Anolis sagrei: one gene and its partners. The protein of the gene in region 3 interacts with the protein of the main gene of each other region in a pairwise test. Links are inferred from orthologs where the notes say so. Each region holds a gene or a part of one and is shown on either strand. Other genes may lie near its edges.

The links.
Region 1: the proteins of TRIP6 (region 3) and HOXA1 interact in a two-hybrid assay, tested with the Homo sapiens proteins (2 studies listed by BioGRID and IntAct). The two-hybrid records come from large-scale screens. The link is inferred for Anolis sagrei from reciprocal best matches to the Homo sapiens genes TRIP6 and HOXA1.
Region 2: the proteins of TRIP6 (region 3) and HOXA9 interact in binary tests that used the Homo sapiens proteins (3 or more experiments, as listed by UniProt). The two-hybrid records come from large-scale screens. The link is inferred for Anolis sagrei from reciprocal best matches to the Homo sapiens genes TRIP6 and HOXA9.
Region 4: the proteins of TRIP6 (region 3) and OIP5 interact in binary tests that used the Homo sapiens proteins (3 or more experiments, as listed by UniProt). The two-hybrid records come from large-scale screens. The link is inferred for Anolis sagrei from reciprocal best matches to the Homo sapiens genes TRIP6 and OIP5.

Annotation. Positions count from the first base shown.
Region 1 is NC_090026.1:91,199,009-91,206,440, reverse strand, and holds HOXA1 (homeobox protein Hox-A1), read right to left. Parts: upstream 3,009-7,432; 5' UTR 2,902-3,008; coding exon 2,223-2,901; intron 957-2,222; coding exon 601-956; 3' UTR 19-600; downstream 1-18. UniProt on the Homo sapiens protein: Sequence-specific transcription factor. Regulates multiple developmental processes including brainstem, inner and outer ear, abducens nerve and cardiovascular development and morphogenesis as well as cognition and behavior.
Region 2 is NC_090026.1:91,096,951-91,104,211, reverse strand, and holds the start of HOXA9 (homeobox protein Hox-A9), read right to left. Parts: upstream 3,021-7,261; 5' UTR 1,441-3,020; coding exon 819-1,440; intron 1-818. UniProt on the Homo sapiens protein: Sequence-specific transcription factor which is part of a developmental regulatory system that provides cells with specific positional identities on the anterior-posterior axis.
Region 3 is NC_090026.1:4,966,554-4,973,603, reverse strand, and holds the start of TRIP6 (thyroid receptor-interacting protein 6), read right to left. Parts: upstream 3,005-7,050; 5' UTR 2,853-3,004; intron 1-2,852. UniProt on the Homo sapiens protein: Relays signals from the cell surface to the nucleus to weaken adherens junction and promote actin cytoskeleton reorganization and cell invasiveness. Involved in lysophosphatidic acid-induced cell adhesion and migration.
Region 4 is NC_090021.1:288,820,652-288,828,088, reverse strand, and holds the start of OIP5 (protein Mis18-beta), read right to left. Parts: upstream 3,013-7,437; 5' UTR 2,985-3,012; coding exon 2,675-2,984; intron 279-2,674; coding exon 212-278; intron 1-211. Other genes in the region: NUSAP1 (nucleolar and spindle-associated protein 1), read left to right, coding at 5,639-5,734. UniProt on the Homo sapiens protein: Required for recruitment of CENPA to centromeres and normal chromosome segregation during mitosis.

The DNA of each region.
Region 1 (7,432 bases), about 86 Mb from region 3:
TTTAAAAATTGAGGAAGGAAATTTAGTCTAATAATAATAATAATAAAGGGGATTGTGGATACCCATTACCGAACTTATTCAAAGGTAGTAAACCAATCCTAACGAAATCCTACTGAAATCAATGAGGTTCCAGTTAGTCTCTAACTAAGCCTCACCACATTACTTTCCTTGGCTGTTGCAGTTGTTAGTTGTCCTTGTTATGTGCCTTTTTTTCTAGGGCTGAGAGAGTGTGACTCGCCCAAGGTCACCCTGTGGGTTTCCTTGATCCAGCCTTGGTCTCTAAAATCGTGGTGAAAGGCTCACTGCACAACTCTGGCTCTCTTCCTTGGTTTTGGGAAGAGATTAAACGTTGTACCGATTTGTAGGGGGAGGGGGAAGAAAGTCCTCTGAAATCAAGGGGATTGGCTTCCAGAGTGAAGAAGTTCAGGATCTCGCGGGGTTGGTTCCCCCCTCTGACATCTTAGTGCCAGTGGAGACATAAAACTACCCGGAGGGAGGAAATGTATAGTTTTTTTGTTTAAAGCCTTTCTGAACCCAATCTAGAAAAAAAACGACGCAAGGATTGTGCCTTCGAGGATTGGGGAGTGGGTCCCGTTTAGTTCAATGGGAGGTAGCCAGAGTGTCTGAGGTAGAGGAGGCCGGGGAGGGGGTGCACGGGGATGGGCTGGACTTCTCCGAAGACTCCTCCGCTTTGTCCTCACTTCCGGTCGGGGTGGCCGGCGAAATGGGCAGCAAGCCCTCTTTCTCCCGCTTCTTCTGCTTCATCCTGCGGTTCTGGAACCAGATCTTGACCTGGGTCTCGTTGAGTTGCAAAGAGGCCGCGATCTCCACCCTCCGGGCCCGGGTCAGGTATTTGTTGAAGTGGAACTCTTTCTCCAGTTCCGTCAACTGCTTGGTGGTGAAGTTGGTTCGGACCGTGTTGGGCTGACCCACGTAGCCGTACTCGCCCGCTTTCCCTGGAGAAAAAGAAAAAAAGACAACAAGAACAATAAGGCAACCGCAATCCGCAAAGGGGAGGGTGAACACCACAAGGCGCAAGGTTTCTTTTTCTTTTCTGTGTCAGGGGCGACTTGAGAAACTGCAAGTCGCTACTGGTGTGAGAGAACTGGCCGTCTGCGAGGACGTTGCCCAGGGGATGCCCGGATGTTTTGATGTTTTACCATCCTTCTGGGAGGCTTCTCTTTTGTCCTCACATGGGGAGCTGGAGCTGACAGAGGGAGCTCATCCGCGCTTTCCCCAGATTCGAATTTGAGACCTGTCAGTCTTCAGTCCTGCCAGCAAAGGGGAGGGTGGACACCACAAGATGCAAGGTTTCTTTTTCTTTTTTGTGTCAGGAGCGACTTGAGAAACTGCAAGTCGCTTCTGGTGTGAGAGAATTGGCTGTCTACAAGGACGTTGCCTAGGGGACACCAGGATGTTTGATGTTTTACCATCCTCATGGGAGGCTTCTCTCATGTCCCCGCATGAAGAGCTGGAGCTGACAGAGGGAGCTCAGCCCTCTCCCCAGATTCGAACCCATTGTGCCACCCATTGCACTACCCCGGGCTCCTCAAAGCTCTAGGTGACAGGTATTAAGAGACAAGGCCTTTATACCTGTCACCTTGAAAGAAACTTTCTGGGCCAGTTCTGACTTTGTTTGCTCAAAGACTCCCCACTTATACTGAGACTAACTTCTTGAGATGATAGGACACCAGAGAATTGGTTGCTGTTAGGACCCCAAAGGGAATGACTTGAGAAACAGCACGTTGCTTCTGGTGTGAAAAAAAATTGGCCGTCTGCAAGGACGTTAGCCAGGAAACTCCCGGATGTTTAATGTTTTACCACCCTCGTGGAAGGAATAAATAAACACCTATGGACCTCAAAGTTGAGTATTTCAATTCGAAGCCCCAAGAGCAGTTGATGGGAGGATAAATCCCCTTTCCAAAATAGTTGTCTTTCAATTAGAACCCCAAATCAGAACATGTCCCCCTTGCAAGCTAATCGCCCAGCTTCAGGAACCCAACTCTAATTCTTCTTCAGTCTATTTGGGTCTGGTCTGGTGGCTAGTGGTCTATTTCGAAATAATGAAAGAAAGAGCAGAAGAAAGTTTGGCACTTCCAACTTTTCCAGCCCGACTTTTTAAATCGTGTGAGAGAATGGGCCGTCTGCAGAGGATATTTTACCATCCTATGGGATCCTTCTCTCATGTCTTTCCAGCCCGACTAATGGGGACGGTGACTCACCTGTTTTGGGTGGGTTCCTCTTCACTTTCATCCAGTCGAAAGTCTGGGCCGGAGGAGAGGTCTCGGAAGCTGAGGGGGAGCCGCAGGGTTCCTGGTGGCTGGACTGGAGAGGGGACAAGGGGTGTCCATAGCTGGTCAAGGGCAGTCCCTGCTGCTCTTCTCCATAGGGGGGCTGGAGGTAGGGGGCCGAGCCCACCGCGGCCCCCGCGTAGCCCTGCGCCGGGTGGGGCACCACCGAGGGCGAGGAGGAGACGTTCCCGGAGTAGAGGCCGGGCGCGCACTGGGGGTACCCGGCGTTCACCTCTGCCTCGGGGCTCAGCGGGTAGTGGGGCCCGTAGCCCCCGGCGCCGAAGCCCTGTGCCCCGTAGCCCGGGTGCGGGTAGGACATGCCCAGGCCGGGGTGAGGCTGGTAGGCGGGGCCCGGCTGGTGGTGGGCATGGGGGCTGAGCGGCACCCCTCGGGACACCAGGAAGCGCTCGTCCCCGTTGCAGCCGTTGGCACTGACCGCGCAGGACGGGAAGGTGGTGCTAGCGGTGGCCCCATGCTCGGGGTGGTGGTGGCGGTGGTGGTGGTGGGGATGATGGTGGTGGTGGTAGGCGCGGGGGGAGCAAGTGGCGGGCTCTCCTCCGTTGAGGATGGGCGGGTAATCGAGGAAGGAACTCATCCTCGCCGCGTCCATCTAGTCCATCTATCACCGGCTGCTGGGAGTCCCGGGTGCCCGTGCCAACTTCCCCACTTCCTCCATGGGGGCCCCGGAGAAAAATGATATGAATGTACAGTCGGGAGGCGGCCACGTGAGGGCGGCAGCCAATAGCGGCGCCTCCTGCCAGCGTGGCCCGGTCCCTTCCTGTTTGATGGATCGCCCTGGCGGTGGCATTTAAATTCCGAGCGCTGCTCCGTCAAGGTGACGCGCAGCCAACACCTCCCTCGCTCCCCCCTCCTCCTCTTCCTCCTCCTCCTCCTCCTCCTCGCCCATCCTCAGTCAATGCCTTGGGCTGCTTGGAGAGCCAGCCCAGGCGCCCTGCCTGAGAGACCATCCTCGCCCGCCCGCCGCGGGAGGGACAGAGCGGGGAGAGCCCGGCCAAGCAGGTAAGCCCAGGAAGCCAGGCGTGGGGGCGGTAGAGGGCCAGCCTCGCCTCCTTCTCTCTCTTCCCAGACAGCACCAGATCTGGTTCTAGCACCAAGACCTAAGGAAGGAGATGGAGGAGAAGGACCCAGCAGTGGGTGCGTGAATGGGTCAATAGGAGAAAGAAAGGGGTCCGTGGGGGATGGATGTGATCTCCGGCGGGGCACCAACCAAACCCCGGGCGCCTCCGCAGAGCAAGAGTTAAAACGGGGCTGGTAGGTCCAGCCTCCTCGAGGGAAGGATGATTTGCATGGGAATGAAGCAAGCAACGCCATTGTGCCTTTGCGGGCGGAGGGCTGGATGTTTGGGGGGGGGGGCTCTGCGAGACAGTGGGGTGGGTTTGGAGTCAAGGTTTCTCCATTCCCCCCATCTCTCCGCCTTTGAAGCGATCCGTCTCCGCTTGGCTGCTGGAGGAAGTGCTTACAAAGGGTTGCCAAGGCAGCTGGTTCCCCGGCCCGCGTTTGCAGAGCCCTCAGTGCGCCTGTGCAAACTCTGCCTTTCTCTGCTCCTCCCTGCCTTTTTCTCCTTCTCTCTTCCTTCCTCTCCTCCCTCTTCCCTCCTTCCTTCTGCCTCTCTCAGGAACTGCCTCTGCCTGGCTCTACGTCCTTTCCTGCCCTCTCATATGCACTGTTTGGAAACTAAAAGGGTATTGTATTGTCTAAGGCTTTCATGGCCAGAATCACTGGGTTGTTGTGTGTTTCCCGGGCTGTGTAGCCACGTTCCAGAAGCATTCTCTCCTGACGTTTCGCCTGCATCTGTGGCAGGCATCCTAAAAGGTTGTGAGGACTGTTTAAAGCACATGTATTTTCCTCTCGTTGGGATAGGGGACATAGCAAATTGCAGCCTTGCAGTCTACCCATTGCAAACCAATGGCTAATGATACAGAGAACGAGAAGCTGTGTTGTTGTGTGTTTTCAGGGCTGTATGGCCGCGTTCCGGAAGCATTCTCTCCTGACGTTTTGCCTGCATCTATAGCAGGCATCCTCAGGCCTCACAACCTCTGAGGATGCCTGCCATAGATGGAGGCAAAACGTCAGAAGAGAATGCTTCTAGAACGTGGCTATGCAGTCCGGAAAACACACAACAACCCATTAAAAGGGTATTTGTGACTGAAAACACCAACACTGGATGACAGACTTAGAAATTAGGGGGAGGAGACTTAACAATGGAAGGGGGGGGGGCTTCCTTTGGTCACTTGAGAACTGTTTCCCTTCGGTGGGGCTTCGTGGACGCCAGGCACTGAAATCAAAGGTTCCCTAGATTTGGGGATTGTGTTATTCAATGCTGGGACGTTGGAAGCAGCCTCAGTAGTTCCCCTGGTAATTGTTTCCCAGCTCTGTCTTTTCCCAGTGTGAAAGTCCCCCATTTCACTCACTGAAATCAAAGGAGGAAGCATGTAAGGGGGGAGGGGGCTTTAGGGGCTTCAGCCCCCCCCCCCCCCCGAAATTCTCAGGGTGGTCTGCGAGAAGGCCTTACTGGTACATTATTTAAACTGTTATGTTTATTCATATCTGATCACCATGCTCAATATATCCCATATGCATGGGGGTATTGGGATAATGATACAAAAGGTTTGCTAGGGTAGATCCTCAACTCCCCCAGCCCCCATCAAACTCAGCCCCCCCCCCCAATCAAACTGAGCCCCACTCCACCCACCCCCGCATCAAAATCCTGGCTACGGACCTGAAAGGAGTCTAAAGAAAGGTGGCTTTCTATGGGTTAGGAACTTGCTGAAAGGGAAAACAGGGTCCTATTGGGTTGCTGTGAGTTTCCCCGGCTCATTGACATGTTCCAGAAACATGAGAGATAGCCATACAGCCCGGAAAACTCACAGCAACCCAGAGATTCTGGCAACAAAAGCCTTCAACAACACAGGGACCTACTGTTTACACATAAAAAGATGGAAAAAAGATATGGCCTATCGAAGCATGCGGAGGGGGAGCTTAGCATTCAAGTTAAATCTGAAATCTGAAAAGCAAGGTGAGCCTAAAGGACATAACATGGGGGCGAGGGATAAGGTTCCTGGTGGTTTGACTGGAGAGGAGACAAGGGATACAGTGAGGAGTAAGCTCTGCTTCTTGGAGAACTTTGCCTGGAGAGAGAGGCGAAAATTGCAAGGTTTAGTTTAGCAAAGGCTCTTATTTTGCATAGTGTATTCCTAGGGCAAAGTTGAAATGAACCCGAAGAGCAAGTTGACATTGTTGTATGGAGGGTTGTTTGCTGGGATGTTCCATCCATTGGAGCATGCGTGTACGTGCCGGTCTGCGCGTAAAGGCATCTGCGCATGCGCATTCGGCCACTCAGTAGTTCTCCAAGCTACCAATCCAGATTGGGGCTGTTTCCTGAAGTGGTTTCAGGTTTGGATCCCTATCAATCAAAATCAAGATTCAGTCAAGTATATATAATTCAGACCAGGGCCAACTTGGGCCCTCCAGGTGTTTTGGACTTCAACTCCCACCATTCCTAACAGCCTCAGGCCCCTTCCTTTCCCCCCTCAGCCGCTTAAGCGAAGGGGCCTGAGGCTATTAGGAATGGTTAGGAATGGTGGGAATGGTGGGAGTTGAAGTCCAAAACACCTGGAGGGCCCAAGTTGGTCTAGGCCTGATATATAGGATCTGGGCACAAGCATTCTCCTGGATGTTTACAGGAAGTAAGTCTCCCTTATTTATTTGGTAGAGCTAAACTCCAGTTTGTAGCAGATGGGATTTTAAGGGGGAAAATACTCAATTTTGGCTGAAAGCCCCTGCCTGCACCCAGTGCTCAGATTTTGCTCTCAGACAGAAAAAAAACAGCAAGAAAGCACGGATTCTCCATGGCTCTGTTGACTGAAGGAGGAGCTTGACAGAGTGCCCCATTTCTCAATGGTCTCCTTGGTTCCCCTGGTCCCTGCCTCCTCGCCATGTCATTGGTAGAAACATCCAGAGCACTGGGAAAGAATAAGCACAACTTTTCATGCAGTTCAGAAGCTGGATTTGGAGTGAAATGTTGTTTCATGCTAGGCCAGGAAGAGAAAATTAACACATGGGCTAAAATCAATCGCGTTTGATGTTTTGTTTGGAGATTTTGGGCCAAAGGGGACGTTAAGAAAAAAAGGGGAAAGGCTAGACATCGCATTTCACCCACCTTAACACTCTGGAATCTGAATTTTTGTTATTAGTTCTGGCTAAAGCAATAGAAAATGAGCTCCCACTGTCAGCCCCAGCTTCTGCCAACCTAGCAGTTCGAAAACATGCAAATGTGAGTAGATCAATAGGTACAGCTCTGGCAGGAAGGTAAGGGCGCTCCATGCAGTCATGCAGGCCACATGACCTTGGAGGTGTCTACGGACAACGCCGGCTCTTCGGCTTAGAAATGGAGATGAGCACCAACCCCCAGAGTCGGACACGACTGGACTTAATGTCAGGGGAAAACCTTTACCTTTCTCTTAAAGCAGATTTACCAGTGTGTTGCCTCACATTCATGAATGGGCCTGCTCTTACTGCAGCTTCTTTCCATCTTCCTCTATAATTATATATCATCTCCTTCTTTGCCTCCCGACCTAGTTTCTTTCGTTATCTATCTATTCAGGCCATCTTTTCCCCTCCAAACCTTCTCTTCCCCCCTCTCCAGGCCTGCCATCGCCAGCCCCTCCACCACTTTCCCTCGTTTCTCCGCCATTGTTCCGAAGACATCTTTCCCTTTTGTTAGACTGTCTGTGGCCCAGCGCTTTGCATTCCGAGGCCTACACAATCCTCTCCGCTCACCACAATGCAAGGAGGGGGGACACATCGAGATGTAGAGGCGGGGGGGGGGGGGTAGATAGAGCAGGAGAGAAGAGAAAGGGTTGGGGGGGGGAGCTGAGGCTGGTGCCTCTGGAGATGGCGGAGCAAGCAAAGTTTTGCTCCCAACTGGAAGCTCCAGATAGACCTGCAACACGTCCCCACATCCTCCTTTGTTGCCTTGTTGTTCTGGACGCATTTTCATGCACCTAACAATAGACTTTGCCTTCCTATCTCCGAATTGAGGAGGGGGTGTATTGGGATTTTTTTTAATTGGGAGGGGGGAGAGATCAATATAAGTTGAGGTACTTGGAATAGCGAGAGGA
Region 2 (7,261 bases), about 86 Mb from region 3:
TGGAAACTATACAAAGCAGTTTGAACTGCATTACATGATCAGTGTAGAACTATACTATGCAGCTTGGATTGAATTATATGGTCAGTGCAGAAACTGTACAATGCAACTTGAGTCGTGTAGAAACTATACTATACAGTTTGAACTGCATTATAAGCTCAATGTTAAACTATGCAATGCAGCTTGATCTGATCATTATATGATCAGTGTAGAACTATACTATGCAGCTTGAACTGAATTATATGGTCAGTGCAAAAACTATACATTGCAACTTGAACTGCATTATATTCTTAGTGTAGAAACTATACTATGCAGCTTTAATTGCATTACATAGTCAGTACAGAAAGTAAACAATGCAGCTTGAACTGCATTATAAGCTCAATGTAGAACTATACAATGCAACTTTAATTGCATTAAATGCTCAGTGTTGAGACTATACAATGCAGTTTGAACTGCATTATATAGTCAGTGTAGAAAGTATATAATGCAGCTTGAACTGCATTATATAGTCAGTGCAGAAAGTAAATGCAGCTTCAACTGCATTATATAGTCAGTGTAGAAAGTATACAATGCAGCTTGAGCTGCATGGCTCTACACTGATTGTCGGGCAGTGTAGCACCAGCCAAACATGACACAACTAAAAACAGAGCAAATGCATTGATATGAATATATAAAAATACAAAACCAAGTGCAAATGGTATGAAAATGCACTTCAAACTACCTTGAACACCCTTCTTTCTCTCCCTGCCTGCCAGCCATCCAGCCCAAGAGGGATCTTCCCTGCCTCCGTGCCCTCTCCCTTCCCAGTGGGTCCCACTTACTGGGGTCGATCTGGTTCTTGTCCCCTCCTGCTCCTCCTGCTCCGGCCTCGCTCTCGGCGTGGCTCTCGGCGAAGGGCGGCCCGTCTCCGGGGGTCTTCTCCCGTTCAGCTGAGGGGGAACCACAGGCATAGTCAGTGAGGGGGAGGGCGTTGCTGTGCGGCTCGAAGGCAGTGCGGCAGTCCCCCCGCCGGGCCGGGAGCGGCTCGGGCTTGATGCCGTAGGGCCGGCCGGGCGGCGGCAAGGCGGGGAAGGCCAAGGAGCCGCCGGGCAGAGGCTCCAGCCAGGAGCGCAGGTACCTGCTGCCGTCGGGGGCGGCGGGCAGCGGGGGCGGATGGTGCACGTAGGGGTGGTAGACGTGGCCGGAGCCCGGGGGCGGCGGAGGAGGCGGAGGCGGGTGCGGAGGCGGCGGGGCGGCGCTCCAGGAGGCCGAGAAGACCGAGGAGGCCTTGGCCTGGAAGCTGCAGGCCGAGAAGTCGGCGTGCTCGGGGGCCGCCCCTCGGGAGCCCACTTGGCCCAGGGGCAGCGAGCCGTAGCGCGCCGCGGAGGGGCCCAGCTCCTCGCCGCCTTCGTGGAGCAGGAAGGAGTCCACGTAGTAGTTGCTCAGCGTCCCCGAGGAAGTCATGGCCCGGGCGGAGGAGGGAAGGGAAGGGAGGAAAAAGAAGAGAAGGGGGAGAGAGAGAGAGAGAAAGGAAGGAAGGAGGAGAGAGAGGCAAGACCCGGCGAAATTATGAAACGGCAGATTTCATGTCACAACTTGGTCCTGGCGAAGAAGTACAGTCACCTAATAAGTTGAAGGCGGCCGGGGCCTCTGATTGGCTGCCGCGCCTCACGTGGCCGGGCGGCAGAACAATAAAGTATAAATCAGTCCGCAGGCTATTAATGGGTCAGTGTTTTCGAGTCATCATTTTTTATAGCTCAGCCTTAGGAATTTTTTTAATGTAAAGGGGGCGAGTTGGACGAGCAAACTTTGGGTTTTTGTGGCATGCAAATAAGATTAAAAGATTAGGGATTTTTTTTCAGGAGGGGGAGGGGGAAAGGGGAGGGTGGGTCTTGCCCTCCTTTAAAAGAGGGGACTATTTTATATCATAATTAATCATCCCATCAAAGGTTGGCGTTTGGAGAATCCAAGAAAGGAGAGGAGAAAAAAAAAACTAAGACAGGCTTCCCTTATTTTATTTTTATTATTATTATTAAGTGATGGGAGACCTTCACATAAAATTATACAATAATGGAAGCCATAAAAATAAAGAAAAGGAAAATAACATTGGGCGGGCGCACTGTATTTAAATCTATATTTATTCTATTTCATACATAAGGAGTTATTGTCTCGGGAGCCACCAGGTTGTTATTAAGTCAGTAACGACGAGCATATTCATTTGCATCGCTGTGTTTCGCGGCAGTAAAAATTTACGAGTGCACTGGAAAGGTTAAATTATACTATTGTGTTGTACTTTGGGAAGCTGTACTGTAAATAATACTGTGCGGCTGAGTTCAGAGCGAACGGGAGGCTGGCAAGGCGAAAAGTCAAATCCAAGAGAAGAAGCCTGTCTCCCTCGGATCTGCCTCTTTTCCTCTCACGCGCCCGAACAGACGAGGAGAGAGGAAAGCGGGGGGGGGGGCACAAGAGGGGGGTTTGGGGCTCTTTATGGGGCACCTTGAGAGCCAAGGGTCGTCGGAGACACAACGGGGAGCCCTTCCCACGAACCCACATTTCCAGATCCACTCCAACGCCGTGTTTCTTGCCCCCCTCCTTCAGGGAAACTCCAGCAGCGGGTTGCACGCTGATCCATTGACATTCTGACACAAACACTCAGCTTTGGAAGCCAGATATACACATATATATGTGTGTAGTATTTCCAAATGCTATAATATATATATTTGGGGGAAGTAGGCTTCTTCATGCACGTGGACAAAGAAAAAAAAAGACTGGAAAGGGGGAAAGCAGAGCAACATGGACGTTTGGAGGGCAAACCAAAGAGACCCACCCACCCGCCTCGATCAAGTTGACTGCAGAGGGGCTTCTTGGTATGTGAGCCCTCCTGCCTCTTTCCTCTTCTGTCTGGAGAGGAGGAACCAGAGCCATGCTACCGCTGGGGAAGACTATATATGTATGGATTGGGTCGGGGAGGGGGTTAGTAATGCTTCCCCATCCCGTCCTCTCCTGGAGAACCTTCCTGAACCATGTCTGGATTGGAGAGCCCCCCCCCCTTGGCATCCGCCCCCCTTTCTCTGGCATTGCTTTCTCCAAGCAAACAGATCTTAGAAGGTCTGAATACTTATTGTTTCCCTGGCACTTTCTATGGGGCTTCTGGGAGCAATATGGGGACGAGGCGGAGGGTTATAGTCTCTCTACCCCCAGAATCACAACAACAACAACAATAAAAGGATATGGCCCTCCGATCAAGGCCAGTGTTGTGAATTAAAGTAATGGGGGAAATACTCAGTGGCTGTGACATTTGAAGGCTTTGTCTTCTCGGTGGATTCCTGTGGTTTTATTTTTGTCCTTTCTATTATTATTATTTTCTCTTTTCTTCTTTAGCTGTTGCTTTTGGGAATCACAAACGGAGCTCAAGAGTGGGGTGAGGAAGAAAAGGGTTCTTTTGTTTTTAGTCTCAAACAGCGGCGTTATTCAGTCTAGAGGCTGTCTAATAGTAAGAGAATCGTGTGTTAATTAGATTCGTGTGTGAATATTCCTGGTGCAAAGCGCATGTTTTTCATTAGTCTACATTAATGTCTTTCCTCCTTGTGCTCCAAGAGGCCAATCTCGAATGAGAGAAACGGAATAGACACTTCTCCATTCTTAAAAATACCAGAATATTGAAGATTACACAAAGTAATTATCTGATCAGAAATAAAAGGGCTCAGGAGTTGCTGATAATAATCTCCCCTACCTACACACGCAAAATAACGTTTCCCAGAAGACTTGAGTAGCTACTATAGTTACTTTCGTGAGATAATTGGAACTATTTGTGTCTGCATAGAGATAGCGGCAACAAAAATACAACAAGCACATGTATCGTGTTATGGGTTTGTGTCTTTCCTGGAAAGAGGGGAAGCCTTGCGTCATTTTTTGTTTAAAATCGAGAGTCAGCTGTTGTGAAATATGTTCACAGAACTTCCTTCCTCCTTGAAGGAGAGAAAATAATCTTAACAGCAGGATTCCTCCCATGTTTTCTTTATTGCATTTCGTGTTTCGGAAATGGCAGCAGATTTTCATTTCTGATTAGGGAGAATCAGGCTCGATTGACTACATCAGAATAACACAATAATCTCTCTGTACTCCTGAACAAAGACAGTTCAAGTATCTAGAGGGGAGAAAAGTTGGGTTGGAATTATAGAGATAATAAATAATCTGCGTGTTTCTTTCTCCTATGCAGAAATGTTATTTCCAAAGGGACTTGTATATTTCCAACTTGATTAATTTTCATGTAAGGACAGACACAGCATGGAAACAGAAGAAACGCGGGTCTACAGTTAAGCTTCATTTTCACTTAAATAAATATATTTTCACCTCAAGTGAATACATTTCTGGTCTTATCTTAAGGCAGCGGCTACCAGATATCGCCCCTTGCCCATAAATACAAATATTAGGGACTCCCAAGTAATAAGTAAGCGTATTTCCGGTTGTTGGTGACTTTTAAACAGCCTTATTTCCTTCCGGTTTGTATAATATTATATCAATTTCAACAGACTCCAATAGTCCTTCACAGCTCTCATATGTGTGTGTGTGTGTAAAAATATACTATTGAGTAAGTGTGCATGAAGGACAATACATATACACATATAAACATACATATACACATCTACATATACACACACTCAATACTATGTGTGTATATATGTATATATGTATATATATGTACACTATTGAGTGTGTGTATTATATATATATATATATATATATATATATATATATATGTTGAGAGATAGAGAGAAAGTGTGTGTGTGTGTGTATATATATATATATTTATATATCAGACCCACCAACTTTAGTGGGCCTTCTTGCTAAGTATGCAAAATTAGCAGCCTTACGGGTTTTATACTGTCACACCCAAGAGTTTTACATTTCTTAGCCTTAACTATTTTCTTTGAATTTTCTGCTAGAGCTATCACTGGAAAATTTTCATTCACGTTTAAATTACAGTAATAATTTTCGAGCTATATTCTTCTCTGAATTCGGCCTCACCGGTAAGCCAATGCCTATGAAATGTTTCCTTAACACACATAGATACAGGCGTTCTTGTTATTATATATATATATATATATATAGCCACTGAAATGTGTGTGTGTGTGTTTATATATATAGAGAGAGAGCCACTGAAATTTATTTATATATATATATATATAATTCACACACACACACACATATAGCCACTGAAATCTGGAGAAACCCTGAGCCAAAGGATATGCTATGCAAATTATGAAGGACTTCAATGGTATTTTTCCAAACAAAGAAATACATATTTGTTTCAGCTCCACAATGGAGTAAACACCCAATACTAGGAGCCTGTATACCTAAACTTGAGTTTTATTGGCGAGCCTATATATTTATGTATTTAAGAAAGCCCTTTACATTTAAAATCGAGCTTTTGACGCCTGAGTTTACAAACACTGGCTGGGGTTATATTAGAAGTGCATACTTATGGGCAGTGTAGACGCACATAACGTAGTTCAATGCATATTTTTGTGTTTTCCGGGCTGTATGGCAATGTTGCAGAAGCATTCTCTCCTGACGTTTCACCTGCATCTATGGCAGGCACCCTCAGAGGTTGTGAGATTGTGGGCCATACAGCCCAGAAAACACACAACAATCCAGTGATTCCGGCCATGAAAACCCTCGACAATACATTAGTTCAATGCACTTCAGACTGCCTGATGAGGGTCTACATTGGCCATATAACGCCACTCAAACTGCTTTGTCTGGAAAGTGTAGTTCCAGCCACAGGCATCCGCATTCCAACCGAAAAGCTCGACATTTCTGGGTGTCCCGGGCTTGGTTCCCAGTATACAACTGCACATATACACAACCCACTCGTTGCATTTACAATCCTAACAAAGCCTCCAAGTTTCCAAACAGACTGGCGAAAAGGCGTGCGAATCTGCTGCTCCCTCCTTTCCCCTCTTCCCAGAAAAGGCCGAAAGCAGACCCCACGGCGGATATCCCCACATCCTCCCCGCCCTAGATCCCCGGAGAGGTCTTGTTCATTTGCACGAACGGTAAACAACGCACGTCTCCGGCGTAAACAAGGCTCTGCAGCGCCTTCGCTTCTCTCTCTCTCTCCCTCTCCGCCTCGCAGCTGCGGTTCCTGCCTTTGCTGCCGCCGTGGACAATAATGATCGTAACCGAGGCCTTGTGGGCGAGCGACGGGGAAATCCTGGCCTTGTTTTCCCGCCTTCTTTTCCCCTCCTTTCTCGCAAGGGCCCCGTCTTAATCCCTTCCTACAGAGGCCTCGGAGTTGCGTTGGAGGATATGTGTGCCTTGGAGAGGTAGAGGAGGGAAGAAGCAAGAAAAAGGGCTGCCTTGCCACCGCTGGAAACCAGGCGACCGAGGCGGGTGGGTGTGTTTGGCTGGCTTACCCTCCTCTCCCCTCCCTCCCTCCTTCTCCTCAGACACAATATAGCCCAATAAAATATAATGAGAACGAAGCAGCGGCTCGCAATCCGAGCTGGAGATGGCTCCCAGATTCCTTTGCTTTCTCTCCCGGCTGAGGGTTAGAAAGCAGGAAGGAAAGGAAGGAAAATGGCAGGGCAAGACAAAGGTAAAGATTGCTATGACAATCCAGACAAGCAGCAGGAAAGAAAAAGACCCTGCAAGAAGAAAAGGAGATGGGTTGTTGTGATTTTTCTGGACTGTATGACCATGCTCCAGAAGCATTCTCTCCTGACGTTTCGCCTACATCTATGGCAGGCATCCTCAGAGGCTGTGAGGCCTGTTGGAAACTAGGCAAATTGGGTTTATATATCTGTGGAATGTCCAGGGTAGGAGAAAGAGCTCTTGTCTGTTTGAGGTAGGTGTGAATATTTCAGTTGGCCACCCTGATTAGCATTTAATGGTTTATCAGTTTCAAGGTTTGGCTTCTTCCTGCCTGGGGGAATCCTTTGTTTCCATACAGGCCGGAAAACTCACAACATCCCTGTGATTCCTGCGTCCATGAAAGTCATCGACTAAACAAGGAAAGGAAAGATCATTCCCCTGCTACTGAAAAGCGCTCCTGACCTTGAAGGAAATCTGTATAAAAACTGTCTAAACCTAGAAGTCTCTTCCATTTTTTTTTCTTGAAAACTCTCCACTTTTGTCTCTTATTCAAAGCTGGAAAATATGAAATGTGGCGACTCTAACAAAGCCAGTCTAGAAAGGAGGGAATTTGAAACCCAGTGCCTACAGAAGTCAAAACAATGGCTTTGGAACTTGACGCCCCTCCAGAGGAGCAATTGTGGGGTTC
Region 3 (7,050 bases):
GTCCAACCCATCTGGAGGAGGGCTGACTCAGAAAAAGTCTGGTTTCAGTTCCGCTAAACAAAGAAGCAGAAGCTCTTTGACACACCCTGAAAGCCGCAAAGCTAGCAAATTATATATCTCATCTCTTGTGTTTGTGTGTGTGTGTGGATATATATCCATTTTAGGAGAAACATAGAAAGGAAATGGAGATTTATCCCCTTCTTTTTCTGTCCTTTGCAAAGGCCTTGCAAAACTACAGCTCCCTGGGTTCCATAGTAATTTACCCATAGCGGTTAAAGTGGTACCAAACTGCATTAATTTTATAGTGCAGAGGAGGCATGGGCAAACTTTGGCCCTCCAGGTGTTTTGGATTGCAACTCCCATCATTCCTAACAGCCTCAGGCCCCTTCCTTTTCCCCCTCAGCCGCTTAAGCGGCTGAGGGGGAAAAGGAAGGGGCCTGAGGCTGTTAGGAATGATGGGAGTTGCAATCCAAAACACCTGGAGGGCCAAAGTTTGCCCAGGTCTGGTATAGAGTGATGCACCCCAAGACTTCTGATTCTTTCCCAGGATCAGCTGAGCCTATCCAAAATGCTCAGGGAGCAAATGTGTTTTGGAATATTTGCATAGACATAATAAACAAACCCAGGCCCAAGTCGAGACATGAAATTGCACTGATGTTGCATCCATGCGCCTTCGAGACGTAGCCTGAAGGTAATGTTATCATATATTTGCAAAAATCATTTTGCACAGGTAACAACGTCTGCGTACGTACAATCCTTTCCCAGCCAGCCACCCAGGTGGATCGTTGTGGATTTTGGGAACCCTTTTTTCCAAAATTATGTTTAATCTAATTTTGGATTTCAAATAAAAATGTGTAATAATAATAATAATAATAATAAATAATAATACCTAAATATGCCAATTAATTCATTTTAATTTAAAATAATGCATTATTTTAAATTAAAATGATTTAATTGACATATTTATGTATTAAATATATATATTATATATATATAATGTACATAATAATAATAATTTATTTTAAATTAAAATGATTTAATTGACATATATTTTCTGCATCGCCATTCAATCCACAAAAAATTAAGAAGCAATAAAAATATGTTTAATCTAATTTCGGATTTCAAATAAACAATGTGTATATAATAATAATAATAAATACCTAAATATGTCAATTAATTCGTTTTAATTTAAAATAATGCAATATTTTAAATTAAAATGATTTAATTGACATATATTCTCTGCATCGCCATTCAATCCACAAAGAAATAAAAAGCAATAAAAATATACTTTCAAATATTCAGAGCTGGGAAAAGTTACTTTTTTGGTCTCCAATCAGCAAAAGGGATGCTTGGAAAAGTTACTTTTTAAAAACCACAGTCCCCAAGTCAGCATTCTCCTTAATCAGCATGGGGAAAAAACCCAAAAGGAATCTTTGGAAAAGTTACTTTTTGGGTCTCCAGCCCCCAGGATCTCTTCAGCCAGCAAAAGGGATGCTCATAAAAGTTACTTTTTTAACATCATAGTCCCCCAAGACAGAATTCTCCTTAACCAGCACGGAAAAAAATTAATGGGAATGGTCAGAGCTTGGGAAAGTTACTTTTTTGGTCTCCAGCCCCTAGACATCTTCAGCCAGCAAAGGAGATGCTTGGGAAAGTTACTTGTTTTTAGACCATAGTCCCCCAAGACAGCATTCTCCTTAATCAGCATGGAAAAAATTAATGGGAATGGTCAGAGTTTGGAAAAGTTACTTTTTCCAAGTTTTACTCTCCTCAATCAAGCATGGCTTGGGGAAAATGGGAAGGAACCAGAATGTGGTCACAAATGCTGGAAAAACAAACCTTGGAATAAATAAACCTTGGAAAAGTTACTTTTTTGGGACCCCAAAACCACCAAAACGTAAGAGGAAGGGGAAAAAAAGAAGTTTCCTTATCAGACCTTGCAAAAGTTACTTTTCTGTAGGAAGAATGAAGGAAGAGAGAGGTTTCCTATCAATCCAAGGGTTATTAGAACTTTAGAAAAGTTACTTTTTTCCAAGTTTTTTCCAAGTTACTCTCCTCACTCAAGCATGGCTTGGAGGAAATGGGAAGAAACCAGAATGTGGTCACTAATGGCTGGAAGAAGTTACTTTCTTGCCTGACACTTCCCACAATCATTCAGAATCAACAGGACTTGGAAAAGTTACTTTTTTGGGATCCCAAAACCACCAAAAAGGAGGAGGAGGGGGGAAAGAAGGAGATTAAAGTTACTTTCTTGCCTGACATTTCCCACAATCATTCAGAATCAACAGGCCTTGGAAAAGTTACTTTTTTGGGATCCCAAAACCACCAAAAAGGGTGGGGAAGAAGGAGATTAAAGTTACTTTCTTGCCTGACACTTCCCACAATCATTCAGAATCAACAGGCCTTGGAAAAGTTACTTTTTTTCGTATCCCAAAACCACCAAAAAGGAGGGGGGGGGGGGGAAAGAAGGAGATTAAAGTTACTTTCTTGCCTGAAACTTCCCACAATCATTCAGAATCAACCAGCCTTGGAAAAGTTACTTTTTGGAGACCCCAACACCACCAAAAAAGTAGGAGAGAGGTGGGATTTCTTATCAGACCTTGCAAAAGTTACTTTTCTATTGGAGGAATGAAGGAAGAAAGAGGTTTCCTAACAGATCAAAGAGATGTCTTATTAGAACTTAAGAAAAGTTACTTTTTGAGGGTCGAAGTCTCCTAGAACCTAGCAATGAGGAAAAAAGTAACTTTTCCACTCTTTTTGGGGGGGGAGAAGTTTCCCCCCATTACACCCTTCGCTCCTAGCCATGCTGTTGGTTGCAAAAAGTAACTTTTCCAAGAGTAGAGCCTTCCTACCTGCTCTCACCTGGGTCCTCCGCTCCTGCTCCTGCTTCCTTTCCAACTTTCCTGTATTTTTATTTTTTTGCAAAAGGCAATGGAGAGAGAGAGGCACAGACCCCGGGGATGACGTCACCGCATTCCAAAGCGTCACGTGGAGCCTGGGAATTCCTGCCACTTCCGGTGGGAGGAGGGTCAAGGGGAGGGGGGAGATTTGGGGAGGAGAAATAGAAGGAAGGAGGAGGAAAAAGAGAGATATTGGGAATGAATGGGAAGGGAATGAATGAACTGGGAGGCAGAACTTTGGAAGGACTTCCTGAGAGTGGAATAGAATGGAGAGTTTGGGACCTACAGCTGGATGGCCATCTGTTGGGAGAGATTGGATTGTGCCTTTAAGAGTCTCCTCCAATTGTATGAATGCATGATTGTGTCACACTTTCTCAAAGACTTCCTGAGAATGGGATAGAGTGGAGAATTTTGAATCTACAGTTGGATGGCCATCTGTTGGGAGGGATTGGATTGTGCCCTTCTATCTGGTTGGACTAGATGACCTTTTAGAGTCTCTTCCAACTCTATGAATGCATGATTCACCCTTTTGGAAGGACTTCCTGAGAGTGGGATAAGCTGGAGTTTTTTAATCTACAGCTGGATGGCCATCTGTTGGGAGGGATTGGATTGTGACCACCTATCTGGTTGGACTGGATGGCCTTTAAGAGTCTTCCAACTCTATGAATGCATGATTCTATCACACTTTTGGAAGGACTTCCTGAGAGTGGGATAAACTGGAGTTTTTGAATCTACAGCTGGATGGCCATCTGTTGGGAGGGATTGGATTGTGCCCTCCTATCTGGTTGGACTAGATGACCTTTTAGAGTCTCTTCCAACTCTATGAATGCATGATTCTATCACACTTTTGGAAAGACTTCCTGAGAGTGGAATAGAATGGAGGGTTTTGGAGCTACAGCTGGATGGCCATCTGTTGGGAGGGATTGTGTTGTGCCTTTAAGAGTCTCTTCCAACTCTATGAATGCATGGTTATGTCACACTTTTGGAAGGACTTCCTGGGAATGGGATAGGCTGGAGAGTTTTGAAGCTACAGCTGGATGGCCATCTGTTGGGAGGGATTGCATTGTGCCTTTAAGAGTCTCTTCCAACTCTATGAATGCATGATTCTATCACACTTTGGAAGGCCTTCCTGAGAGAGGGATAAGCTATAGCTTTTGGAGGTACAACTGGATGTGATATAACCATGAATTCATGGCCATCTGGATGGCCATCTGTTGGGAGGGATTGGATTGTGTCCCCCTATCTGGTTGGACTAGATGACCTTTTAGAGTCTCTTCCAACTTTATGAATGAATGGTTATATCACACTTTTGGAAAGACTTCCAGAGAGTGGAGTAGAATGGAGGGTTTTGGAGATATAGCTGGATGGCCATCTGTTGGGAGGGATTGGATTGTGCCTTTTAGAGTCTCCTCCAATTGTATGAATGCATGATTATGTCACACTTTTGGAAGGATTTCCTGGGAGTGAGATAAGCTGGAGAGTTTTGAAGTTACAGCTGGATGGCCATCTGATGGGAGGGATTGGATTGTGACCTCCTATCTGGTTGGACTGGATGGCCTTTTAGAATCTCTTCCAACTCAGTGAATACATGGTTATGTCACACTTTTGGAAGGATTTCCTGGGAGTGGGATAAACTGGAGAGTTTTGGACCTACAGCTGGATGGCCATCTGTTGGGAGAGATTAGATTGTGCCTTTAAAAGTCTTCTCCAACTGTATGAATGCATGGTTATGTCACACTTTTGGAAGGATTTCCTGAGAGTGGGATAGGCTGTAGCTTTTGGAGGTACAACTGGATGGCCATCTGTTGGGAGGGATTGGATTGTGATCTTATAGTTGGACTGAATAGCCTTTAAGAGCCTCTTCCAACTCTATGAATGTAGTTATATCACACTTTTGGAAGGACTTCCTGAGAGTGGAATAGAATGGAGGGTTTTGAACCTACAGTTGGATGGCCATCTGTTGGGAGGGATCGGATTGTGCCCTTCTATCTGGTTGGACGAGATGACCTTTTAGAGTCTCTTCCAACTCTATGAATGCATGGTTATATCACACTTTTGGAAAGACTTCCAGAGAGTGGAGTAGAATGGAGGGTTTTGGAGATATAGCTGGATGGCCATCTGTTGGGAGGGATTGGATTGTGCCTTTTAGAGTCTCCTCCAATTGTATGAATGCATGATTATGTCACACTTTTGGAAGGATTTCCTGGGAGTGAGATAAGCTGGAGAGTTTTGAAGTTACAGCTGGATGGCCATCTGATGGGAGGGATTATGTTGTGCCTTTAAGAGTCTCTTCCAACTCTATGAATGCATGGTTATGTCACACTTTTGGAAGGGCTTCCTGAGAGTGGGATAGGCTGGAGATGTTTTGAAGCTACAGCTGGATGGCCATCTGTTGGGAGGGATTGCATTGTGCCTTTGAGAGTCTCTTCCAACTCTATGAATGCATGATTCTATCACACTTTTGGAAGGACTTCCTGAGAGTGGGATAAGCTGGAGGTTTTGGAGGTACAGCTGGATGACCATCTGTTGGGAGAGATTGGATTGTGCCCTCCTATCTGGTTGGACTGGATGGCCTTTAAGAGTCTCTTCCAACTCTATGAAGGCATGATTCTATCACACTTTTGGAAGGACTTCCTGGGAATGGGATAGGCTGGATGTTTTGAATCTACTGCTAGATGGCCATCTGTTGGGAGGGATTGGATTGTGACCTATCTGGTTGGACCGGATGGCTTTTAAGAGTCTCTTCCAACTCTGAATGCATGGTTATATCACACTTTTGAAAGGACTTCCTGAGAGTGGAATAGAATGGAGGGTTTTGAAGTTACAGCTGGATGGCCATCTGTTGGGAGGGATTGGATTGTGCCTTTAAGAGCCTCTTCCAACCCTATGAATGCATGATTATGTCACACTTTTGGAAAGATTTCCTGAGAATGGGATAAGCTGGATGTTTTAGAGCTACAGCTGGATGGCCATCTGTTGGGAGGGATTGGATTATGCCTTCCTATCTGGTTGGACTGCATGGCCTTTAGGAGTCTCTTACAGCTCTATAAATGCATGATTCTCTCACACTTTGGAAGGACTTCCTGGGAATGGAATAGCCTGGATGTTTTGAATCTACAGCTAGATGGCCATCTGTTGGGAGGGATTGGATTGTGACTTTAAGAGTCTCTTCCAGCTCTATGAATGCATGATTCTATCACACTTTTGGAAGGACTTCCCGAGTGGAATAGAATGGAGGGTTTTGAAGCTACAGCTGGATGGCCATCTGTTGGGAGAGATTGGATTGTGCCCTCCTATCTGGTTGGACTGGATGGCCTTTAAGAGTCTCTTCCAACTCTGTGAATGCATGATTCCATCCCATTTTTTGGAAAGACTTCCTGAGAGTGGGATAGGCTAGAAGTCTTGAATGGATGGCCATCTGTTGGGAAGGATTGGATTGTGACTTTAAGAGTCTCTTCCAGCTCTATGAATGCATGATTCTATCACACTTTTGGAAGGACTTCCCGAGTGGAATAGAATGGAGGGTTTTGAAGCTACAGCTGGATGGCCATCTGCTGGGAGGGATTGGATTGTGCCTTCCTATCTGATTGGACTGCGTGGTCTTTAAGAGTCTCTTCCAACTCTATGAATGCATAGTTATATCACACTTTTGGAAGGACTTCCTGAGAGTGGGATAAGCTGGAGGTTTTGAAGTTACAGCTGGATGGCCATCTGTTGGGAGGGATTGGATTGTGCCATCCTACCTGGTTGGACTGGATGGCCTTTTAGAATATCTTCCAACTCTATGAATGCATGGTTATATCACACTTTTAGAAGGACTTCCTGAGAGTGGGATAAGCTGGAGTTTTTGAATCTACAGCTGGATGGCCATCTGTTGGGAGGGATTGGATTGTGCCTTCCTATCCGGTCGGACTCCATTGCCTTTTAGAGTCTTTGAATGAATGATTATATCACAAGCCTGGGCCAACTTGGGACCTCCAGATGTTTTGGACTACACCTCCCACAATTCCTAACCGCCGGTAGGCGGTTAGGAATTGTGGGAGTTGTAGTCCAAAACACCTGGAGGGCCCAAGTTGGCCCAGGCAACTTTAGTGGCAACAAATACCAGCAAAATGACTAACCTCCAGGCTTTCTCTGCTTTGTTTCAGGC
Region 4 (7,437 bases), on a different chromosome or scaffold from region 3:
TTTGCGCTTTCTTCTTTCACCTTGATTAGAAGGCTCCTCAGCTCCTCCTCACTTTCGGCCATCAGAGTGGTGTCATCTGCATATCTGAAGTTGTTAAAGTTTCTTCCAGCAATTTTCACCCCAGCTTTGCATTCATCAAGCCGCGCACATCGCATTAATCACTTAATTTAGCATGCATAAAAGAGAAGGAATAATTTCAAGAAATACCCACCATCCAGTAAGATCTCCTTCCACACAAACCATCAAATCATCTTCCACAACAATATCATTTGTGACTTCTGAAAGAGAAAAACATTTAAAAAAAATTAAACTCCAAATTTTCTGCTAACAGATTTAATTATATTGCATACAAAATGGCAGTTTTTTGATGTCTCGCACACCCTTAATATATCGTAGCTCCTCTACATTTACCGGTGTTAGTGGCACATAGTCTCAAAGTGGGGAAAATGCAAATATAAATTGCAAATGCTACTTTTTACTTGAAAGAAGACTGCTCTAGCCATTTGTGGGACCCACAAATGCCTAGACAGAAGATACCACATGTTTTTGGCTGTGAGTAGAACAAAAGAGGTGGCATAAATACAGCAATTTGCAAATACAGCAATGAAATCTGCAAATTAACTGATCTGAAGAGCTAACTGTATCCTTCTAATCATTGCATGCTGCTTAAACACTTGACAGGAAATCTGACTGCAGAAAAATCTCAGTACATTTGCTGAACAAAAAAGAAACAGGTGAACTATTTTTATATTGTTAGATGGCCAGGAACAAAACAAAACAAAAGGAAAGGAAAGCAAAGCAAATACAAAGTAGGAATGAGGTAGCCTTCAAGGAAGTATGAATGTAATTGGGCTGGGAATATTTTTGAGGGTGAATCTACACAAATCTGGCCTGCCATGTCTTTCTGTGTAGTCCTCCAGATGCTGGATGACAACTCCTGTATTCCTCTTCATTAGACATGATTGGAGCTGATGTTCAATGTGAAAAAGTAACACCTGTAAGGTTGCAGTCTGTCATTTTTAGTCAGAATGATGGTGCCTGAATTTAGATATATGGCTTGTGGATATGATATTCGACTTTAACCTTTGTCCTTTAACCTTTCTCCAACCCCAGAGCCACATGTGCTGTTGGGTTGCAATTCCCATTTTCCCCAATCTGCATGGCAGATATTCAAAAGTTTATCATTTAATAACATCTGGGGACAGAACCACATTAGTTAAAGTGGTGTCAAGCCTTACAGTTGTCTTCAATGGGCCTTTGAATCCATGGAGGGAGAACCTGGTGTAGATTCATATAATCCAGTTCAGTCTGCATTATATGAGTCTACACTGATCATGTAATGCAGATAAGGCTTCTGTCCTGGGAGAAAAGCAGGGTATAATAATAATAATAATAATAATAATTTAAAAATAGTCCGTACCTGGATGCAACTCAGAACAGAGATAAAGTTCAGGTTCACTAACTCCTATCCAAAATCCATGGGACTAGCAATGTTTTTTAAATAAGAATGTTTAAAGATCTTGGAATACTTGCAGATACATTTCGAGATATTTTGGAGATGAGACCCAAAGCCTGAACACAACATTCATTTATGTTTCATATACATCTGAGATACATAGCCTAATGTTTATACTAGGGTGATTTTATGCTTTGTCTGAATATTTAAATGTTATGTATTTATGTTTAATGGTTTAAGTTGATTTTAAGTTCATAGTTATATGTAGTAATTACTTAGTTATTATGATTTGTCTACTGTATGTTGGCAATGAATTTTTGCCATTAGTACGTTGTAAACTGCCTTGAGTCCACCCAGGGCTGAGAAACGCGGCATATAAATACAGTATACAAACTTACACAATCTCTCTGATCATCTGGAGAGGCCCTGCTCACGATTCCACCTGCGTCACAAGCGCGTTTGGTGGGGACGAGGGACAGGGCCTTCTCTGTGGTGGCCCCCCGACTCTGGAACTCTCTCTTTAAGGACATCAGACAAGCCCCAACGTTGGCAGTGTTTAGGAAGAGCTTGAAGACGTGGCTGTTCCAGTGTGCCTTCCCAGAATAGGAAACGCCTAGCATCATGTCCCAAATGCACATTATTAGAGATTTAAGATTGTCTGCACACAGCACCTATCTCCAAAAACCTATCCATTTCACCTGTCATGTCCAGCATTTTTTAAATTTTATTCATTACATTTGGCCTGGCCTTAGTTTTAAATGTGTTGTGGTGTTATTGTCTAATGTTTATTGCTTTCTTTTATGAGTTTACTAATTGTTGTATTGTTATGCTGTTGTTTTATTGATGTGTTGGGCCTTGGCCTCTTGTAAGCCGCACCGAGTCCTTCGTGAGATGTTAGCAGGGTATAAATAAAGTTAATAATAATAAATAAATAAATAAATGTGAGGATACAGGGGGCCAAATATATTTTTCACATAGTTGCTTTTCATTTTTAGCCCATTTGTTATTGAATAACAACGCCCATCACTTCTGATTCATTCATTCTACTCAAGTGAGTTCCAAACTCGTCCTCCAGGTTCCCAGAATTCCTGACCATTGGACAGGCTGGCAATAGCTTCTGGGAGTTGGAGGCCCAAGCACTGGAGGACCACAGGTTGTCCCCACTTGGCGTAGCGAGGATGCGCCCAACCTCCGCTCTCCCGAGCTAGGCGAACTCACTGAAGCAGGCGAGGAGGCGGAGCTTCTCCTCCTGGGCGCACAGGTGAAGCGAGTCCCCCAGCACGGCGCGGCAACTCCGGCATTGGTAGAGCACGCAGTCCTCCGGTCTCAGGCCCCGAAAGCCGGGGAGCCGCTCCCAGGCACCCTCGGGCCTCTTGCTTGGCGGCGGCGGCGGCGGGCTGGGGCCTTTCGCTACTCCAGGTCCTGCCCGCTCCACCATGATGCCGCCACCCACTCGGGGCTCCTGGAAGAGCAGCTGCAGTTGCCGACGCACCGCCATCTTGTTTTCCGCCAAACGTTCAAACCTCATCCCCCGCCAAGCACGAGCCCGCCTTCTTCCACCGTCATTGGCTGGAGCTGCCCGCCCACGTTTCCGTTAGACCTAATCCCCCGCTTTCGTTAAGCACGCGCCCGCCTTCTCCTCGCCCATTGGCCTACTTTGCGGCTTGACCCAATCGGGTTTCAAGAATATAACACAAAGCGGGGGCGCGGGCGGTTTAAAAACAATTTTATTTGGACGTTTCCGTGGCCCAGGCAGGCCTCGAAGCCAACGTCTCTTCGGCACTTGACCTCCCACGCAGAGGCCTGTCTTTCTCTCGTAAGACCTGCAGACTCGGTTGGAGAGGAGAGAGCGGCTCACAACATTCACCGTGTTCCTTTGGCATTTTGGTACTCTCTTGTGCTGTGTGCGCGCGTGTTTTTATATGTATAGGTAAAGGTAAAGGTAGTCCCCGTTTTATATGTATACATTTCTTTAAAAAGACTCCGGGTTGTTGAATCCCTTCTCAGTTCCCCTTTTCTTTCCAAAGGGAAAATATGACATGCATTTATCCCCCTTCCCGCAATTCTCCCGGAATTCGGCTTTCTTTCTCGATGCGCTGTGAAAAGCAGCAATTCGGTTTCAAAGTCACGTGGGTGGGCGCTAGATCCCAGCTCCTTTCTGATGTTTTTGGGAAGGCTTCATTGTGTTGATTTTAAACTGCGCAGCTTTGTGTTTGAAATGCCTCTCGGTGATTGATTTGGTCTCAAAAACGGTGGCGGTTTGGTTCCTTTCCTTTTGAAAGCCTGGCCCTCTTAACTCAGCTCTTTTTTTTTTTTTTACATTTATGCTTTGGCGTTGTCGAAGGCTTTCATGGCCGGAATCACTGGGTTGCTGTGAGTTTTCCGGACTGTATGGCCACATTCCAGAAGTATTCTCTCCTGATGTTTCACCCACATCTATGGCAGGCATCCTCAGAGGTTGTGAGATCTGTTGGAAGCTAGGCAAGTGGCGTTTATATATCTATGGAATGTCCAGGCTGGGAAAAATAACTTTTTTCTGTTTGAGGCAGGTGTGAATGTTGTAATTGGCCACTTTGATTAGTATACAATGCCTTTGCAGCTTCAAAGCCTGGCCGCTTCCTGCCTGGGGGAATCCTTTGTTAGGATACGCTAGCTGGCCCTGATTATTTCATGCCTGGAATTCCACAGTTTTCTGAGTATTGCTCCTTATTTACTGTCCTGATTTTAGAGTTTTTAAATACTGGTAGCCAGATTTTGTTCATATCATTGTTTGAAATAACAGACTGCCTTAAAAAGTAAAACAACAAACACTGGACCTGCCAAAGGTATGCAATCTAAAATGCGGTGTGGAGTAGATCCTTGGTATCTGCTGAGGTTTGGATCCAGGGCTTTCACTGACACTGTTGGAGGCAGGTGTGAATGCTGCAGTTGTCCACCTTAATTAGCATTTAATGGTCTTGTAGCTTCCAAGCCTGACCACTTCCTGCCTAGGGGAATCCTTTGTTGGAAGGTGATAGCTGGCACAAGCACAGTTTGGGAGAGAAAGTTAAAGACTAAAGCAGGGGACCTCAAACTAAGGCCCGGGAGCCGGTTGTGGCCCTCCAAGGTCATTTACCTGGCCCTTGCTCAGGGTCAACCTAAGTCTGAAACGACCTGAAAGCACACAACAACAACAATCATATCTCATCAGGCGAAAGCAGGCCCACAGTTCCCATTGAAATACTTATAAATTAATATTTATTAAAATTGTTCATTATTGTAATTATTGTATTGTTTTTAAGTGGTTTTTGAACTAAAATAAGATATGTGCATTGTGCATAGGAATTCATGTTTGTTTGTTTTTTTACATTATAATCCTGCCCTCCAAAAGTTTGAGGGACTGTGACCTGGCCCTCTGTTTAAAAAGTTTGAGGACCCCCGGACTAAAAGGTTGGAAGAAAGAACTCTTGTTCTTTCCACAGATATATAAACCCCATTTTCCTAGTTTCCAAGAGATCTTACAACCTTTGGCCACATCATGAGGAGACAGCAAAGCCTAGAGAAGACAATGATGCTGGGGAAAGCGGAAGGTAAAAGGAAGAGGGGCCGACCAAGGGCAAGATGGATGGATGGCATCCTTGAAGTGACTGGACTGACCTTGAGGGAGCTGGGGGTGGTGACTGCAGACAGGGAGCTCCAGACAGGGAGCTCTGGCGTGGGCTGGTCCATGAGGTCATGAAGGGTCGGAGACGACTGAACGAATGAACAACAAACCATAGATACAGGCGAAAAGTCAGGAGAGAAGGCTTCTGGAACATGGCCATACAGCCAGGAAAACTTACAGCAACCCATTCATGCTTTTGTCGCCGGTTGATTTTATTCCCAACCCCCGGAGGATTGGTCTCTCCGCCAACTGGAAGGGTTGGGAGCTCGGCTGTTTCCGTTCTCTTTCCGAAAATGTACGAGAAGCTTGGGGAAAAAAACCCTAGAAAAAAATAACCTTTTTGTTTTGTTTCGCTGGCTCACGCGAAGGCATCCTATTGGCCACGGGCCTCCTTCAGGCACCGCCCTCTTCCGCGAGCGTCCAACCAATGCCGCGCGACGAGTGAAGGTTTGAAGGGAGAGCGCGCGAGCGGCTTCGAGGCGCGGCAGTTGGGCGCGGAGCTTTCCTTCCTTCCCTTTGGTGGCTGGAGGCGCCCAGTCATGGAGGTTTCTCCCCCGGAGGAGCGGCTGGAGACGCTCAAGTACAGCGAGCTGCAGTCCCTGGCCAAGGCTCTGGGGCTGAAGGCCAATCTCAAGGTGAGAACTTAGGTCTACCCTTAGTTGTTTATGTTTCCCAATGAAAACGAATTTATAAATTGCTATCTGCGACTAAAATGATCAAGGGTCTGGAGAACAAGCCCTATGATTAGCGGCTTAAGGAGCTGGGCATGTTTAGCCTGAAGAAAAGAAGGCTGAGAGGGGATATGATAGCCATGTATAAATATGTGAGAGGAAGTCACAGGGAGGAGGGAGCAAGCTTGCTTTCTGCTTCCCTGGAGACTAGGACGTGGAACAGTGGCTTCAAACTATAAGAAAGGAGATTCCATCTGAACATGAGGAAGAACTTCCTGACTGTGAGCCGTTCAGCAGTGGAACTCTCTGCCCCGGAGTGTGGTGGAGGCTCCTTCCTTGGAGGTTTTTAAACAGGCTAGATGGCCATCTGTCAGGGGTTCTTTGAATGCAATATTCCTGCTTCTTGGCAGGGGGTTGGACTGGATGGCCCATGAGGTCTCTTCCAACTCTATGATTCTATGGGGAATGGCACAAAGATAACACTGAATTGCCTCAGGGAACTGAGTTTTGAACGGTACTTAGAATGACAGAGACTTCTAGTGCACACCCTTGAATTACTATAGCCATGGTACCTTGAGAGGTAAGGCGCGGATGTTGTGGAAATTATTAGCTGGTGGAACATTCTAGCAGAACTCTTTAGAGTGCATCTGCATTGTAAAATTAATCCAGTTTGATACCACTTTTAACTGCCATGCCTTAGTGCTATGTAATCCCGGGATTTGTAGTTTGTTGAGGTACCTTTTAAAACTACAGCTCCCATGATTCTATATAGTTGAGCCATGGCAGTTAACGCAGTCTCAAACTGCGCTAATTCTATAGTGTAGGTGCGACCGAAGAAACTGAAGGTTTTGTTCCTTTAAGCTAGGCATGGGCAAACTTAGGCCCTCCAGGTGTTTTGGACCAACTCCCACAATTCCTAACACCCGGTAGGAATTGTATGTTTTTACCCTGTTTCCCCTTCTGCTCCCTCACCCATATTGTGTTTTTAGTAGTTATATTTATATTTTTAATGTACCAAACATGCCAGGTTTGTATGGAAATGTGACACTATTTCCTGTGCTGGTCAATGACCGAAATAAATATTTTGAAAAAGTCCAAAACACCTGGAGCGCCTAAGTTTGCCCATGCTTGCTCTAAGAAAAGTCTTGAACTCGGTTTTTTAGAGATTTGATGGAGCTTGAGGTGATGCGGTTTGATATGGAATTGAACTGGAATTTGTAGTTCGGTAAGACACCAGCACTCTGGACCTTGCAAGGCTACAACTCCCGTGATTCCATAGCACTGAACCATGACGGGAAAAGTGGTGTCAAACTGCATTCATTCTACTTTGTAGGATTCAAATCAAAGAAGGCCAATGGCTTGGTTGTTGTCCTCTTGTTACTGTTAACCGCCCAACTATTGGGCTGATCCACTTGGAATGAGCCCACTTGTGTGTCTCCAGAGAAACCTCTCTTCTCCGCTGAAGTATAGGATGCCCATTTTCCATTTTGAACCTTAGAAACTCCTGTTGGGGTCCAAAGGGGCAGCAAATTGTTTTCTTCTGAATCAGTGCACCTCAGGCTTTTTGGTTAGCTGGTCTGCAGTTTTTGTTTGGGCTAGTTTTTGTCCCCATATTTCTTCCTCCTGTTAAATGCATTGTTTCTTTACTGGAAAATGGCTAGGCACTA